Astyanax mexicanus: one gene and its partner. The protein of the gene in region 1 purifies or fractionates together with the protein of each later gene. This does not show direct contact. Links are inferred from orthologs where the notes say so. Each region holds a gene or a part of one and is shown on either strand. Other genes may lie near its edges.

Evidence for each region.
Region 2: the proteins of tap1 (region 1) and tapbp.1 purify together in Homo sapiens (co-immunoprecipitation; 6 studies listed by BioGRID and IntAct, with this or other methods). This does not show direct contact. The link is inferred for Astyanax mexicanus from reciprocal best matches to the Homo sapiens genes TAP1 and TAPBP.

Annotation. Positions count from the first base shown.
Region 1 is NC_064408.1:118,044,206-118,052,791, forward strand, and holds the start of tap1 (antigen peptide transporter 1), read left to right. Parts: upstream 1-4,423; 5' UTR 4,424-4,562; intron 4,563-4,644; exon of another isoform or gene 4,645-4,875; intron 4,876-7,404; 5' UTR 7,405-7,415; coding exon 7,416-7,742; intron 7,743-8,586. UniProt on the Homo sapiens protein: ABC transporter associated with antigen processing. In complex with TAP2 mediates unidirectional translocation of peptide antigens from cytosol to endoplasmic reticulum (ER) for loading onto MHC class I (MHCI) molecules.
Region 2 is NC_064410.1:22,173,987-22,183,103, forward strand, and holds the start of tapbp.1 (TAP binding protein (tapasin), tandem duplicate 1), read left to right. Parts: upstream 1-5,165; 5' UTR 5,166-5,279; coding exon 5,280-5,340; intron 5,341-7,372; coding exon 7,373-7,555; intron 7,556-8,356; coding exon 8,357-8,605; intron 8,606-9,117. Other genes in the region: psmb8a (proteasome subunit beta type-8), read left to right, coding at 51-192, 342-453, 1,833-1,962, 2,107-2,311, 2,541-2,629. UniProt on the Homo sapiens protein: Involved in the association of MHC class I with transporter associated with antigen processing (TAP) and in the assembly of MHC class I with peptide (peptide loading).

The DNA of each region.
Region 1 (8,586 bases):
GGAACTGCTAAATCTGAGGAAATGCTAAATCTGTCAAAGCTCACAATTTTTGATTTTATATTTATTAAGCCTTATTTCAGTATCAAACGTTTTGATCAAAGTTAATATAACTTATAAATTAAAAGGATTTATGTTAATAGAGCAACAAGCAACCATTTTTCCATGCAACTGTAATATTTGATTGAATAAATAGTATATTGAGAGTTATTTAACATTAAGGAGTAATTACATTCATTTTGTATTACATCTGGTTACATTTTCTTATATTTATAAGTTACATCTGGCCCTCAGAGGACAGCCAATATGCCAATGTGGCCCTCGGCAAAAATGAGTTTGAGACCCCTGGTTTAGAGGGACTAGAGGATTGAAAGTAACAGGATTAAATAACAATATTTTGTAACAGGGTTGTAACAAAAGACAGTAAATACATAAGTCCGTTGTAAAAAATTTAATAATATTGTTTTTATACTCAGAACACACAAATACACAAAAATATATAATTACAGTTTTTTTCAACTGTTTACACACTAAATCTTTGCTTGTCACACTATTTTTTTTAAACATGCCCTTCAAACAACATTACCCCACACCAAATCTGCAAAACCATACACCAAACACACATTTTGCAAAACTCTACACACAAGTTTCTACCTAACACACAAAGATCAAACAGGAAGTTACTTGATTTCATCTTTCAAACACAACCTATCAGAATGCCACACTAAATCACCTGTGCTTCACTCCCACCCCTCACAGCACTCATTACTTTATTGAACACCAACGAATCATTGGCTAAGTATAGGCCTATAAATAGGTCAAATGTCAAGATGTCTGTTTTGAACCATGAATGACAACGAAGAGAGAGCCGGGAGAGTTTGGTAGAGGCAGAGGACGTCCACGAGGAGTTCAGATTCGAGGAGGAGGAGTTGGAAGGGGAGGAAGAGGACGAGTTGGACAGGGAAGAGGACAAGGGCAAAGAAGGGAAGCAAGGAGAGCTGTCTCAGATGAGATTAGGGCTACATTGGTTGATCATGTGATCAATCATGGGTTGACCATGAGAGAGGCTGGACTGCGCGTCCAGCCAAACTTGAGTCGATTCACAGTGACAGCCATAATCTATGGAAGCCCATTTCCGCCACCTGAAGAAAAAAAACGTCCTCAACTAAGTCATAATTATGGGATAGTAAGTCATAATTATGAGATAGTAAGTCATAATTATGAGATAAAAAAGTCATAATTATGAGATAGAAAGTCATAATTATGAGATGACTTTTTATCTCATAAATATGACTTACTATCTCATAATTATGACTTACTATCTCATAATTATGACTTTCTATCTCATAATTATGACTTACTATCCCATAATTATGACTTTTCTATCTCATAATTATGACTTACAGTTTTTCTCGATTGTTTACACACAAATATTGGTACTTGAAACACAATGACCACAAAATGTAACTCATGCACCAATACTGTTTGTAGTAAGTGTAAAACATAGTTCATCATTATGATGAATGGAGAATGGTGTTTTACACTGAGCACATCAGTGTTCAACTGCTTCTTTTGATTGTATGTTCATATGATGGTTTGTGTGTGTCATCTGAACACAAAATAGCCTTTTGTGAAGAGATAACACTCTTTTGAATGGAATGTTTCATTTTGCAGGAGAATTAAAGGGTTTTGCACCTATTGTGTGCGTGTTTGTTGGATTTGTGTGTTGAGTTCTGAGAATATAAGGCATGTTTTCAGAAAATATGTGTAACAAATACAGAAAAACTGTAAGTGCCTTTAAAGCAGAGAATGCTCTAGAATATGCAGAACAGTGGAAATATGCAGGAATAGGGTGTAGAAACACTGCTGTAAAGTGACTTCTGTTCATTTGTAGTTTACAGTAACACCAATCACAAGATCACAAATCAACCGGTTATATTGTAAAGTATGTTTTTGTATGGTGTTTCAAATTCGCGCTCAATGTGCCCTCTTTAGACTTTGAGCACCTGCCCCTCCAAATGTCTCTGCACAGGCCCTGATCTGGGATCAGTCAATTATCTAACTATCTATCTACCTACTCACTTGCTGTTTACAGGCCTGTAGGTCAAAGTTGCCAGGTCCGCGGTTTTCCTGCCAAATTAGGCTTGTTTGAAAATTCAAAATGATCTTGTTTTAAAAATTACCATGGCAGGCAAAAAAAAAAAAAAAAAAAACACACAATGTAACCAGATATCACCAGGTAATGAAAAAAAAAAAGTTAAAGTGGAGAGAAGAGAGCTCAGGAGGAGCAAGAACAGAAATGAGTAAGTAAAAGTCTTTTTGTGGTTGTTATAAAATAAGTAATAAAACGCAAATGTTACAATATTATTAATGACTTCAATGAAAGGTAAATAGTAATACTGATAATAAATCCCTTGCTTCGATGATGAGACAGACATATATTTTGGGGTATTTTACAGTTTTTCTTTGTCGATTTGGTACATTTCTCAGATCAGAATTGAAATTCTCAAAACTGTCTATTCAATCTCCATGCATTTCTCATTGTGTTTCACATTTTGCAAATGCGTTTGTCATTCAAATTCATGCAAATGATCATGTACAATTTTCAGCTGTTTTTTGCATTATCCATTGCTTATGTCGTGCTCATCAAAATATGATGTGCTGATTATCTGTTAAATTGTCTTACCCTCCAAAACAATTAGGTTTTAGGTCATTGCCTAAGTCAAATACATGCAAAAGTGCTAAACATGTTGTCATAATCTCTCAGGCATAATTCATACATTTCTATGAAACCTTTTTGGTACATTTTGGTAATTTATCCTAAATTAATGATTTTTTTTTTTTTTTGTCTTATCTTGTTATTTTGACTGCCTTGTTCTTAGGCATTGACACACAGGCTAGGCATTTTGATGTCACTGACAAGTTGATTTAAATAAAGATTTGCTGTTGAGGCAAAAACAAAGAATTGTGAGTGAGATACGAGCTTTGGCATGTTTTTCATTGAGTTTTGCTGTTTGCACTGTTTAAACTGTTTTGAGAAATGCACTTGTTGTGATGCCAATGTAAATCATGATGTGAGAAATGAACCAAATCAACTGAGAAAAACTGTAATAGTGTTTAATATCTATCTACCTATACCTATATCTATCTATATTAAATAGTGTTTAATTTTCTAGTAGGTAAATAGATATTAAAAACTATTACAGTTTTACAGTTGATTTGGTGCATTTCTTTTTTTTTTGCATTTGGTGCATTTCACTTGCTATTTACAGGCCTGTAGGTCAGAGTTGCCAGGTTTGCGTTTTCCCGCCAAATTGGGCTTGTTTTAAAAATTACCACGACCACCAAAAAAAGTCACAAAAAAACACACACAAAAAAATTACAATGTAAGCAGAAATGACCGTCAATGAGAAACAAATGATAAAGAGGAGGGGCAAGAACAGAAATGAGTAAGTAAAAGTCTTTTTTTGTTGTTATAATATAATTTATAAAACACAAATGTTACAGTATTACTAATGACTTTAAGGTCAATAGTAATACTCATAACAACTCCCTTAATATTTTGGGCTAGTTTAAGCTTCTAAAGTAGGTTTTACTTAGATTTTACTTTTACTCGAGTACATTTTAACACAAGTAATCTACTTTGCTACATTGGAAAACTCCCAATTACTGAGTAAAAAATAAAATGCTGAAAAAAAAACAATTGTCTGAATTAAAAAATATATTAATTGGCTTGGATGCTCTGGCGCACGGATGCTCGCGCGTGGAATAACGAGGCAGTAACGTCCTCATGCAATACAAAATGTGCCCCGCCAGACAGAGCTGTCAGCTTTCAAAACTTCCTCATCAAACCTGAGAAAGCATGTGGTAGCAAGTATTTTTATCATTAAACAATCTTTTGAATGTAAAAAAAATGTAAATAGCAGTTAAAGCAGAGCAATGGCAAGTTAAAATATAACAATGACCTGTAAACCTATAAAATTACAGTTTATAGTCACCTATATGAACATAACTTTTTAACAGTAAAGAAAAGAATGGATCATAGAAACCTTGTTGCCACTTATTCTTGAAAATGTTTTATGGGGTGGTCTGGACAAATACTGGTTGAAAGGTCCAAATTATTATGTGAAATAATTGTTCATTAAAAACGATTTAATTTATGATTTGTTGTACTTTTTTACATCAAATAATCAAAAGTAACTATGTAACTTTTACTCAAAGTACATTTTAAATTGAGTACTTTTTTACTTTTACTCGAGTAGATTTTTAGATGGGTACAAGGTACTTTTACTTAATTACAATTTTTCAGTACTTTTTCCACCTCTGTCTGAAGGGCTGGTTTTAGACTGACTTTGGGCTGGATATCTAAGTTGTACCTGGCAACCCTGCTGTAGGCGCACATCCCCCGTTTGGCCGCACGGTTTCGCTAAATCGCACCGCGCCTCCTCCTGTAGCAGTTTAATGGTGGACAGCAGATCAGACCGACTGAAAACAGCGCGGTTTAATCCGGATTTCTCTGCTTTATTTATTAAATCCTCCTGATTATAAACATGTCTCTTCTTCAGGTGAGTCTTATTAACGGTGATATGTGTCTTTAAGAGGTTTTAGAGCGCGGGGAAGAGCGGGACTTTCCCGGCTGTTTTTTTACTTTCGCTTTCAGGTTCGTTATTTAGTTCAGCTGCGGATCTTTTACTGCTGAACAGCCTCGTGCCTGTTCTGCTGCTCCTCCAGCCTTTTATACATCTTTATACACTAATATATTTATTTATTTAAACCCTGAGAGCGTTTTTCACACCTTAAACACCTTCAGCTCACTCAGAGAGGAGTTATATTACCTTTAGACTGGAGGTAAACACCGTGTTCAAGGTGTTTCACAAGGTAAGAACTCATTTTTAATACATTTAAACTTTAAAATATTAAACTCTGCACCCTCACTGCTTAGTATTACTGCTTAAAATTAGACTACACTCTAAAAAACAGAGGTACGATATGAGTACTTTTTTGTACTCGAAGGTACATTCTTTATAATTGTACCCTCAAAGGTACAATATTGGTCTTTACAGGGTCAGATTTGTTCCCTCTGAAGTACAAAGTCATTTCTAACAGCAATAAGTACAAATTTGTACGTTACCATTTAACCAGCCAAAGGGTACATTCAGTATTCTGCATCACTGTACTAATGAACAGTATATATTTAAATTGCACATTTTTTTATTTGAAAGCCAGACAATTTTGTATCATCAAGTTTTTGAGCCATTTTTAGTTGATGACAATGTTTATAATCTTTATAATCTATACTGGCACAAAAACCATGGGTACAAAAAAGGACTTTCACTGAAAGGTACTTTTTTGTACCTCAATATAAGGTACAGCCCCAGCGACAAGCTTTGTACTCTTTTAAGTACAAATCTGTACTTATATTTCTTAGAGTGTATATAATACTTTTTTCATTTTAAGAACTTTTTAAGGCCAAAGTTGTTTTTTTTGTTCATATAAGGAAACAGTGAAAGCGAAAGTAACACATACAGCAACCTAAAACAGGGAACAGACATTAATTATTTATTTTTACTCTGTTTCTATACATGGCTTTTATATTATTTGGCTTCTTTAGAAATGTTTTTTTAAAACAACTATTTGGGCTAGTAATGTTTTACTTCTAATAAAACACATTGAATAAGAAGAAGTGTGTCCAAACTTTTGCTGGTACTGTATATATTGTATATCTAATATATAAATATAGAATTTATAGATATATGTTTGAGTAAAATGAACATTGTTGTTTTATTCTATAAACTACAGACAACATTTCTCCCAAATTCCAAATAAAAATATACAAAGTCTTTTAGAGCACTTTTTTGCTGAAAATGAGAAAAGATGCAGAGCTTTCAGACTTCAAATAATGCAAAGAAAAAAAAACAAGTTCATATTTATAATGTTTTAAGAGTTCAGAAATTAGTGTTTAGTGGAATAACCCTGTTTTTTAATCACAGTTTTGATCATGCGTCTTGGCATCATGTTCTCCTCCACCAGTCTTACACACTGCTTTTGGATAACTTTATGCCACTCCTGATGCAAAAATTAGCTTGTTTTTTTCCTGTTTCCAAAACTCATGTGACATTTAAAAAGGTGTTTAAAAGCAAGTTCACTAATTCCTTTGATTTTCTCTCAGCAAAAGTGTTTGTTTTAAAGAAATGGTTTACTGCATGTTTAAATAATTTATATTTCTGACTGTATATATATATAATCACTATATATGCATGCACATTGTATTTTTCTAAAATACGCACAGCCATTTTTATCTTATCAAGAAGACCCAAACCTGAAATTAATCAAATTTTTTACTATGCAAAGTATTAAACAAATGGATAAATTATGAACCAAACAGTTTTGGAAAAAGTGGTTTGCATTAACCAATATTCACATTAATATCAATCAATAAACGAGGGGGAAATACTCATTCCTGTTACTGGACTTCACTCCTGTTACTGACGCTCACTCCTGTTACTTTTTGAAACAGGGAACACACATTAATTTGTGTGTGTAATATATTTGTATACAGGGCTCTCATATTAGTTGGATTCTTTAGAAATGTTTTTTTTTACTATTTAGGAAAAAGGTTTGGCACCCCTAATTATTTTCATGATTTTCCTGATTATAAATTATTGGTTGTTGAGATCAGTAATTTCAGTTAAATATATCATATAGCAGATGAACACAGTTATATTTGAGAAGTGAAATAAAGTTTATAGGATTTACAGAAAGTGTGCAATAATTCTTTAAACTAACCCTTTTATTAATTTAAATACCTTTATTCATATTACATTACATTACATTACATTACAATACATTTAGCAGACACTTTTGTCCAAAGCTACTTACAATAGTGAAGTACAGAAATAATAGAAGGTAAAAACATCTTAATATAGGGCCTAAAGGAGGTCAAAGGGCAATCATGGAATAGAGGAGTGAAGGAGGGGATATACCAATACTAATTATGAGAAAGGGATAATGTGGCCTCAAATGACCTAAAAAAAAAATAGGATCGTTTAACATCATGGTTGAGTTCCTGTTGGGTTTCCTGGAGGTGCTGAACAATAGTTGCTGAAGTGCCAGCTCATCAAAAAATCACCATCTCAGTTGATCAGGTTTAGATCAGGGGATTAATGTGGAGAAAAGACACTTTTTTGTGGTTTAATGCATAATTTTATATTTGTCCCTTAATTGTTTCTTTTATATTGTCTTTAATTTTAATCTACAATGTAGAAAATAAATTATATAAAGAAAATGACCTTTTTGGACTGGTACACAAATGCATATTTGCAGTATTTGACTATTTCTTTTGGAATTTGTTATTTTATGGATGCTTATATGGATATATTACATTGAAATCCTGTTTGTGTGTTTCAGAGCGGTTGGGAATGAAGGCGGTGATGGCGTCGTATCTCTCCTTCGTGGTGTTGCTGTGTGTGGATGTGTGTGTGGTGAGGACTCTCGGGGGGGCTCGGTTCTCCCCTCAGTTGGATCAGCAGGCGTGGGTGACGCTGTGGGCCGTGGGGCTGATCCGGGCCGCTCTGCTGCTCCTCACAGTCTTCTCTTACCCCGGCAGCCCCGCCTGGCTGCGCAGCTCTGAGGGGGTGCAGACTGTGTTGGTGCACAGTTTATTATACCCTGCATACATTACCTTCCTCTGCACCTGCGGCTGCTCAGCGCTGGAGCTGCTGTGGGGATGGCACACCTGGGAGGGGGTGAGTGAGTTATTACTTATTACTCAGTTATTGACCTTAAAAGTTACCTCTAGCTTAGATAGAGACAGTTTTATACATCTCTGCTGGATTTTCTCAGTCAGCTTTATGAGGTAGAGTCACCTGGAATTCAGGCTTTCAGTTAACAGCTGTGCTGAACTCATCAAGAGTTAATTACTTTAATTTCTTGTCTCTTAATAAAGTGTTTGAGAGCATCAGTTGTAAAGTAGTGAAGAGGTAGAGTTACAGGTATACAGTGAATAATAGCTCTACTTGAGTAATGTTCTAATCCAGATTATGAAAAGCAACAACTACTAAACTAAAGTAAACTAAAGTACTAAATACTTGGAATAATTACTTTAAGACATGAAGGTCAATCAATCTGAAAGTCAATTTCAAGAACTTTGAAAGTATCCTCAAGTGCAGTCACAAAAAAGACCATCAAAAACATTATAATGATGGAACTGGCACTCATCAGGAACGCTACAGGAAAGAAAGAGCAATAGTTTCCAATAAATTCATCAGTTACCAGCCTCAGAAACCACAAGTTAACAGCTTAACCCCAGATAAGAGCATCTAAAATCTTCTTCACAGAGTATTTTGGATTGTTTAACTTTTAAGTTACTTCATGATTCATTATGTGTTCCTTCATAGTCTGGATCACTTCACTATTCATTTACTATGTAGGAAGCAAGTGTCAAAACTTTTGAGTGGCCCTGAATAATGGAATAAACAATGAAACCATTTCAATTAAACAATTAATCACATTTTAAATGCACAATTATCAACAACAAAAATGATTAGATAAATTATTTCTGATTCCAGAACCATACAATTGAACATTTAA
Region 2 (9,117 bases), on another chromosome or scaffold:
TAAATCAAAAATGTTTGAACAGGCTCTAAAATCATCTTGTGTTTTTTCAGCCATCAACCTTTCTACAGTCATGCAGCTGTGAGGATGGCATATCAATTGACATGAACCATGGCACCACCACACTGGCTTTCAAGTTTCGCCATGGCGTCATCGTGGCAGTTGACTCTAGGGCTTCAGCTGGTAACTACATAGGTAAGTATACTCACATCACTTTACTTCACAAGTTACACAAAGTAAATCACATATTCACAGAATTAAAAAGTTATAGCATAATTGTAAATTACAATACCACACCCAGTCGTGTAATTTTTATACCATCCTATATGTTTTGTTTCTAATAGACACAAAGGAAGCAAATAAGGTGATTGAGATCAACCCTTACCTGCTGGGTACCATGTCCGGCAGTGCAGCAGACTGTCAGTACTGGGAAAGACTCCTGGCTAAAGAGTGCAGGTTTGTTCGAACTTGAATCGTTTGAGGATGGAGGGAGTGCACATATAAAGTTACCATCAACTGTGTGTGTGTATGTGTGCGCATGTGTGTGCATTTGTTGCCATGTCAGGAAATTTTGCCAGTCATCTCAACTCAGCAGATGCATCTATGCACCCAAAAGGAAAATCTTTTTCTTTACATAAGATAAAGTGCATTAAACATGCTATGGTGCTAATTTTCATGCAAAAAAAGTTATTCCTTATATCAACTAAATCATTCAATTAACCACATTCAGTTGATAGTTGGGTTCAATTTCCCTAACCACACCCAGGTACAATTTAATGACAGTGTTCGAATGCAAATACAGATGTAAACATTCCCAGAATGTATACAGTCTGCCAGTCGGGGAAGTGTTACAAAGCTAAGTCTTAAACTAGGTCTTTGGGAGTCATTATCCATGAATGGAGAAAATTCTGAACAGTGGTGAAACTTTTAATTTAGTGGGCAGCCTGTTAAACAAATTCAGCATGTGTGCATTGCCTACAAAAACATCTTAAGGATCTGCAGTCATTTTGTGCCTCAGTTACTATCAACGTACACAATTTTAGGATCTGTGGGATAATATTCTGTGGTGGTAGAATGTTTTGTAAGACATGGATCTTGATAAATCTGGTGGAAAGCTAACTCTGCATAAGAACATAATACCAATAGTCAGATTGTGATTTGCTTAAGCAAAGATGGGTTATGCAAAAGGACAATGATTCAAAGCATACAAGCAAGTCTATGGCCCAAAAAAAGAATTACGGTGTAGGAATGGCCAAGTCTTAAATGGACACATCGTGCCTGAAAACTCACCAGTGTAGTTGAATAAAAACAATATTGCAAAGACAAGCAAACTGAAATTCCTCAACATAAGTGATTGCAAACATTTGATTGCAGTTATTACTGCCAAGAGTGTCACAACCAGATGTTAGATGTATTTTTATGGGGACGATTTATTTTAAATATGGGTGATATGATTTAAAACCCTTATTGTGTGTTTAATTAGTTGGTTTAGTTGGATAAAAGGAAACATTTCAGTCTGACAAATAAAAAAAAGAATACTTTACTTTTCCATAGCACTTTATTAACACTGTTTTATTTTGACATAGAAATAAGGTGAAATGTCCAATAATGGAAAGCAAATAGATATGAGACGCTAACAAATTACTAATAAATAATTAAGATATCGGTAAAGTGTATTTGAACTAAATATGTCAAGTAAATTTTACTTACGATTAATTTAAATTGAAAAATTACCAGTATAGCTAATAAAAACACATTTTTTACTCCAACATAAATGACCAAAGCATAAGTGTTGCATTATGTGTGAGTGTTTTGTGTTTTGTTTGTGTCTTCAGGCTTTACCAGCTACGCAATGGTCAAAGGATCTCTGTGTCTGCAGCATCCAAGCTGCTGTCCAACATGATGATAGGTTATCGAGGGATGGGCCTCTCCATGGGTAGTATGATCTGTGGCTGGGACAAGAAGGTACAGCATTATATGTGTATATTTTTGAGATTTTATTTTTATTGATGAGCAATATATACATCTATGAGATATTTTTAAATGATGTCATGATTCGTACTGAGTTGACCTGCCACTGATCCTTTTGCCCTTGCTTTTGACATTCAGGGTCCAGGTTTGTATTATGTTGATTCCGAAGGTACACGTCTCTCAGGTTGGATGTTTTCCACGGGCTGTGGGAACAGCTATGCGTACGGTGTAGTGGATGCTGGCTACCGTGAAGATTTGACTGTAGAAGAGGCGTATGAGCTGGGCCGACGTGGCATTGCCCACGCCACTCACAGAGATGCCTACTCTGGTGGAGTGGTCAACCGTAAGTCATTTTTACTCATAATGCACTCATAATACTCATACTCATAATACACACAATACATAATACACAATACTACATTCAAAGTAGTGAATTATGTTTACAGTAGATTACAATTTGTTTCAGCATGATGAAACCATACAAATTATGCAATAAACACTACAGACTTTTCATCAAATCCATGTTTATATGCAGATTTGTGATATCTGTTTTTTCTTTTATGTCTTTGTAGTCTATCATATGCAGGAGGATGGCTGGATCAAGGTATGCAAGGAGGATGTGTCTGAGCTAATCCACCGCTACAGAAAAGGAATGTTCTGATTCCAGATCAGTTCTTATTTAGTCTGATGTAGAAACATTGTCATTGCTCTGTAAATGGGCCAAATTAAGTCAGAAATCATTTTTAAATAAAGTTTTTTTAACTGAACACTAAACAAAGTTGTATTTCTTTTTTGGGTCAAAAGTGTCAGTTCTGATTTGTCCTGTGGGATTAATAAAGGATTATCTCAATTTACCCCAAAACAGGTTCTTTTAAAAATAATTTATAATGCATTATCTGATGTGAGATATGATGTTGCTAATGTAAGCTATAAGTGTTGCTGATCATTCTAAAATTAGCAATTGTCAACAATTATCCGGAGGTTGTACTACACAACATATGCTACACATTATTCAATAGCAAAATTCATACAGTATCTGATTATGTATGCTACATATAATTTTCTTACAAAACAAATCTTAAAACTTTGCATAAAACAATTAGTTTATTTTTTGTTCATGTAGCATTACCTCAGCCTTAAACAATTTAGGTATTGGGTAATGAAAACTTAGGTTAGCTTGTGTGGGTGTAGATTGTGACAGAAGCCAGTGGAGCCCACAAATGTTCAACTATCTCAAAATAGTTGAGGATTGTTTAGAAATATCCAATTTTATGTAAAACAGATAATTTGAGTTCAAACAAGTATGGGTTTAAAGTGTGGGAGTTGGTCTAAGATAATTAGAGGCCGGACTGGTTGACTAGGAACAGTCACTGAAAGTTTAACACTGGTTAAATGTGCTGGAAACTTTTTCCTCCTTCTCGCCCTGTGGTGGGGCATCACCCGAATACCCTAAATTTGAAACCGCAACTGATGTTACTGCTGTTCATTCATACTTATCCATGCTGCTACAGGAAAAGTGCCTTATTCACTCTTCTCACACTAATACTCATGTTGCTGCACTTTTTCTTTTTCTTTTAGCTCCTTTTCCCCTACTTTTCTTATTTATATGCATGTCTATGTGACGATGCTCGTCGAACTCCCAGGGAGACACAATGTCACCAGGTAGTATAGCTGAGTAGGATGTAGTGGATGGAGGTACCACGCTGATGCCACATGAGTCCGTTCAAACAGTGATCATTTATTTAAACCCAGTGAAAATGCAAAACAAAAAGATTGATTAAGGAAAACAAAACATATTAAAAGGACACTCCCTGACTTAAAGCAGTATAGGAAAGTATTAGAGCCCAGGCCACAAGATCATAGAACTCCATAGGTGCTGACCCACTGAGGAAGGTAAACGTAATAACATTAAATCAGCAGAGTTATAGGCCTTGTGACAATACTTGTTAACATTAAACATAGTGTACAACAAAATTTCCTTTTTAGGACTGACCTCACCCCCCTACTAGAATAAGCAGTGAACCCTACAGCGTACCCCAATTAAGTAAGTCAGCCCCCACATTCTTATTTACAGCTCTGGAAAGAAAATAAGAGACCACTTACAAATTATGAGTTTCTTTGATTTTACCAAATTGAAAACCTCTGGAATATAATCAAGAGAAAGATGGATGATCACAAGCCATCAAACCAAGCTGAACTGCTTAATTCTTTGCACCAGGAGTGGCATAAAGTTATCTAATAACAATGTGTAAGACTGGTGGAGGAGAACATGCCAAGATGCAAGAAAACTGATAATAATAAATATTCTAAATGACAATATTTTTATTTGGAATTTGGGAGAAATGATGTCAGTAGTTCACAGAATAAAACAACAATGTTCATTTTATTCAAACATATACATATAAATAGCAAAATCAAAGAAACTAATTCAGAAACTAAACTGGTCTCTTTTTTTTCTTAAAGAGCTGTACATACAGATGTAGCAGTTTTACTGACCTCAACACAGCCCATTTATCTATTTTATTCTTTATTTTATCTTTTATCTTATTTTTCTTAGATAATAATTGCCCTAAAAACTAAATACTGATAATCAAATGGATTTTGAAATTTGAAATTTGAAATTTTCTGGATAAAATACATCAATATAAAAATACATCTAAATATATCCCCATCTAAAAATAAAAGAAAAATCACTAATGAGGCAAAGGCTTTGTTTGAGCAGGAGCTGTTGAGAAATCACATGATTGGTGAGAACAGGGTGAAATAAGGTCAGTTTATGATCTGCCCCTAGTGGTGAAGTTCAGGGTCTGTGGAAACGACTGTCCTGCAGCGCCACCCTGTGTTTAATAAAACCACATGCTGCTTTTGAAAAGAGAAATATGAAGATTAAGGGTGGGTAAACCAGCTCCAGAACGTAAAAATCCATCACAGGGTTTCCTGCCAACTGCCTGGGCGGCTCTGCTGCAGCTGCGCTTTACACAGAGCCGCACATGCAGTCGGTACGAAACCCTGGGATGGATTTTTACGTTTATGAACACATTATGAACAAAAACAATTTCCATGGCCTGTTTGAAGGTAGTATGTATTTGCTAAAACACCCTACAAAAAAACTTAAAATTAAAATAATAACATTAAAATGTCCAAACCTGGCTCAGATATTTTTGAGACTTTTTTCCAGCGCATGCGCAGTCCGCGTTCATAAGTGAAAGTGAAATGTGTGTTGCTGGGTTTCGCAGGGGGATTTTCGCTGCTGTTTTCTGACTGCTCTAAAAGTCGTACGAGCACTCTAAACACACCGACAGCGAAGAAAAATGCGTGACATTTCCACTATTTACAAGATTTCAATTCTCGCCTGTACTTTGGCCATCGGCGGTGAGTATTAGTATTATGCATTACAGCTGCCCTGCACAGACATTTGTTCTGTCGAATTTTGCTACCCATCGATACATGCTTCCCAAAGGTACTGCGCATGCGCCGACCTACACAATTTAATTCTTTCTCGTGTTTTATGTATAATTAATCTGGTTTAGGGGGCGTTATGTGCATTAAACAACCTGGACGCACTATCATTGCACAGAAGTGTAAATGGAAACTAAAAATTACACTTATTATCATAAATAAATACAAAAGCAGTTTGTAATGAGCTATATTTACTATAACTTTGCCATGGTACAATGAATTATGCACTCCAAATCTAATAACGTACATCTACTGGAATATCACTGGGTACATGCCCTAAAATAGTGCTTCTTTTGTATTTTTACAGTTAAATATTCATTGGGGCAGCACGGTTCGACAAGGTAGCAGAATTCGACAGAACACATTAACTATGGCCATCGCCAGGTTAGCTTACTAATGACAACAGCAGCCTGTATAAACTCACTGTTCGACAGGAAATACAATAGCGAGCTAATTTGAAGAACATTTATCGAGAAAAACATGGCTAACCTAACAGTTTGGACAGCTTTTATAAGTCGACAGTGTGTTAACTGCATGTTTTTACTCTTGTCAGACTCATTATAGCATTAAGATTCCATATGGAAAAATGTTATGTTTGTAGGTATATGTTTGAGTAAAATGAACATTGTAGTTTTATTCTATAAACTACGGACAACATTTCTCCCAAATTCCAAATGAAAATATTGTCATTTAGAGCATTTGTTTGCAGAAAATGAAAAATATGCAGAGCTTTAAGACCTCAAATAACGCAAAGAAAACAAGTTCATATTTATAAAGTTTTAAGAGTTCAGAAATCAATATTTGGTGAAGTAAATCTGTTTTTTTAATCACATTTTTCGTGTTTTTTCCTCTTATGTTCCATTATGTTCTAAAGGTTTTCAATTTGGCAAACAAACTCATTATATATAAGTTTGGACACACCTTAAAATCAGTGGGTTTTTATTTTTTAAACTAAAGCCATCCAAACTATGAAGAAAAAAACATTACTGGAATTATTCAGTAAACAAACAAAAAAACTTTTAATCAGCTATTTAGAGACAATCTCCTAGATTGACAGCTGTGCTTCGTCAAGAATTTGAATTAATGTGTTTGAGAGCATCAGTTGTGTTGTAACGAGGTAGAGTTGGTATATAGTGAACAGCCCGATTTGAGTAATGTTCTAATACATATTATGACTAAGTAAAAAACTAAGTAAAAAAGTAGAAATATTTTAAGACCTTCTTAAGAAAGTATCCTCAGGTGCAGTCACAATGACCATCCAAAAACATTATGATGAAACTGGCTCTCATCAGGACCCTGAGTTATCTCTGTTGCAATGGATAAGTTTATCAGAGTTGCGAGCCTCAGAAACAGAACCAGTTACCAGCACCCCAGATAAGAGCACCTAAATGCTTCACAGAATGTTTTGGCTTTTTTTTATTACATTATTCCTTTATGTGTTCCTTTATAGTGAGGATGACTAAATTATTCATTTAAAATAAAAAATAAAAAAATCCTTAAATTAGGTGGATTTCCTTTTTTATATTTAAGTCATCCAAACTATAAAGAAAAACGTGGAATTATTTAGTAAACAAATAAGCCTTTCTTAGTCAGCTTTTTAGAGGTAGTCACGCAAAGACCATCAAAAAGGCTATGATGAAACTGGCTCTCATCAGGACCACTCCAGGAAAGGAAGAACATGGGTTCTTCTGTTAGACCGGATATGTTCATCAAAGTTATCAGCCTGAGAAACCACAAGTTAACAGCACCCCAGTGTGTGTGTGTGTGTGTGTGTGTGTGTGCAACCTTGTTATGGCATAATTTGCCTTCCTTATCTGTCAGCAATATTTTTGTTCTGTTTTACTTTTACTTTTACAGATGTAAGTGTACATCGGTTTCATACTTTCATATTTAAAGGTTCACACAAGATGTTTGTCTAAAAGACCATTTTATCTGTTGGTGACAGTTTCAGGATGCTCTGTGCTGGAGTGCTGGTTTGTGCAGGAGAAACCAGGCCGTGGAGGGGGCTTTTCAGCTGCTATGAGCCAAGAGAAATCCCTCATCTACATCAGAAAGGACCCAGATAGTCCAAAGATGCAGCAGAAACCTCCATCAGACATCGATTTCTCCCGAATTTACTATGTAACAGGTTAGTATTAGAGTAACTTTAGTACCCGTCTGGAAAAAGTAGCATGGACCAGTATGAATTCCATGCATATCTTAGTGTGATGCTTTCTTAATCTTTTATTAATGTGCAGTGTTTTAAAAAATACTAGGCCCTGGACAGCATGTATATCATGTATAAGCAATGCTTGAAAGTCTCAAACAAACCCAAAAAAAAGATCATACTAAATATTTTTGGTATTTATTTTACAATTTTTGCCTGTACCAATTACAGGTGATATCTATAACCTGGTTCAAATTGTGACTTGTACCTAGTCCTGAAACTATAAGCATTTTTTTTTTCGATTGTATATTTTTTCCAGAAATTATTGTGATAAATGGTAATATTTTTTAAATGAAGCATATTAATGCAATTACACCACTTTTAATTAACAATGCACTTTACTTTTAATTATTAGAAACTTTTAGATGTTAAAATTGGAGTATAAAAAATAAAATAAAATAATGGGCTCTTCTCGTTAACAAAACCCAGAAATATTTAGGGCTCATTCCATTCTGCAGATAGGTTCACATAGATTCTCCTCAATATGTAAAACTATTAAAGATGTGTTTGTATAATGTGCAATAAATCAATAACATAATTATCATGTCAGGCCAACCAGCATTTTTATTTGGAATAATTATGATTTTTTTCTGTCTGTCACTCCTGAAGCATTGCTGAACGTGTCAAAATACATAGATATTAATCACTGGTTTGTAAATGTAATATAAAAATCTGAGTATGCTGGAAAATGATTTTACACTTCCTTCTCTTTATATCTTTCAGATCCCGCTGCCACTTTCTGCAGCTCTTCACTCCATCCACCTGAGGGCTCCCTTACCAAACCTCAGTGTGAGATAAACCCCTTCACTCCTCAAGCATCTTTGGTTAAATGGGCTGCATCACTCACAGAGACAGGCCAAAGCCCCACCTACCTGGATGGCGATTGGTATTCTGTGGCAGCACAGGGTCTTGATGGACAGCTAACACTGTCCAATGTGATGCAAGCTCCATCAGCTTCTAAAGAACCAAAAGGTAAAATGAGCTTGCATATCTTGCATATTTTGCACAAGAGAACACAGACTTGTATGCAGAGGAATATAGGATCAGATGAGAAAATGAATGTTGTACAAACCACATATTACAAACCACTAAGTTAAAGCAGATTTGGGTTGTTGTGTTTTTTAGTTGCAGTGTCAAAAGGTCATTTTTGAAGTGTTTTCATTGACTATTCACTGTGCACTAAGTTTCGTTTACTATATCAATTGTGTTTTTACATTTATACCAGTAGCAGATTGGGATGTTTTTCTTTCTTGGGTGCCATACAGGTTAGTTTATGTGCTAAAAATATTCTTTTGAAATAAGCACATAAAGTTTCTACTGGGCTACAGAAGTCCAACACTGGATAGAGATTTCTGCTACCTGGGGTGTGAAAATGGGACTGTGGGAATAGTGGTGGGCAAATTTAGAGGGTACATCCCACACAGATTTCTATGGCGAACTGCACTGTTCAAATCAAAACATTCCTTAATATCTAATTATACATC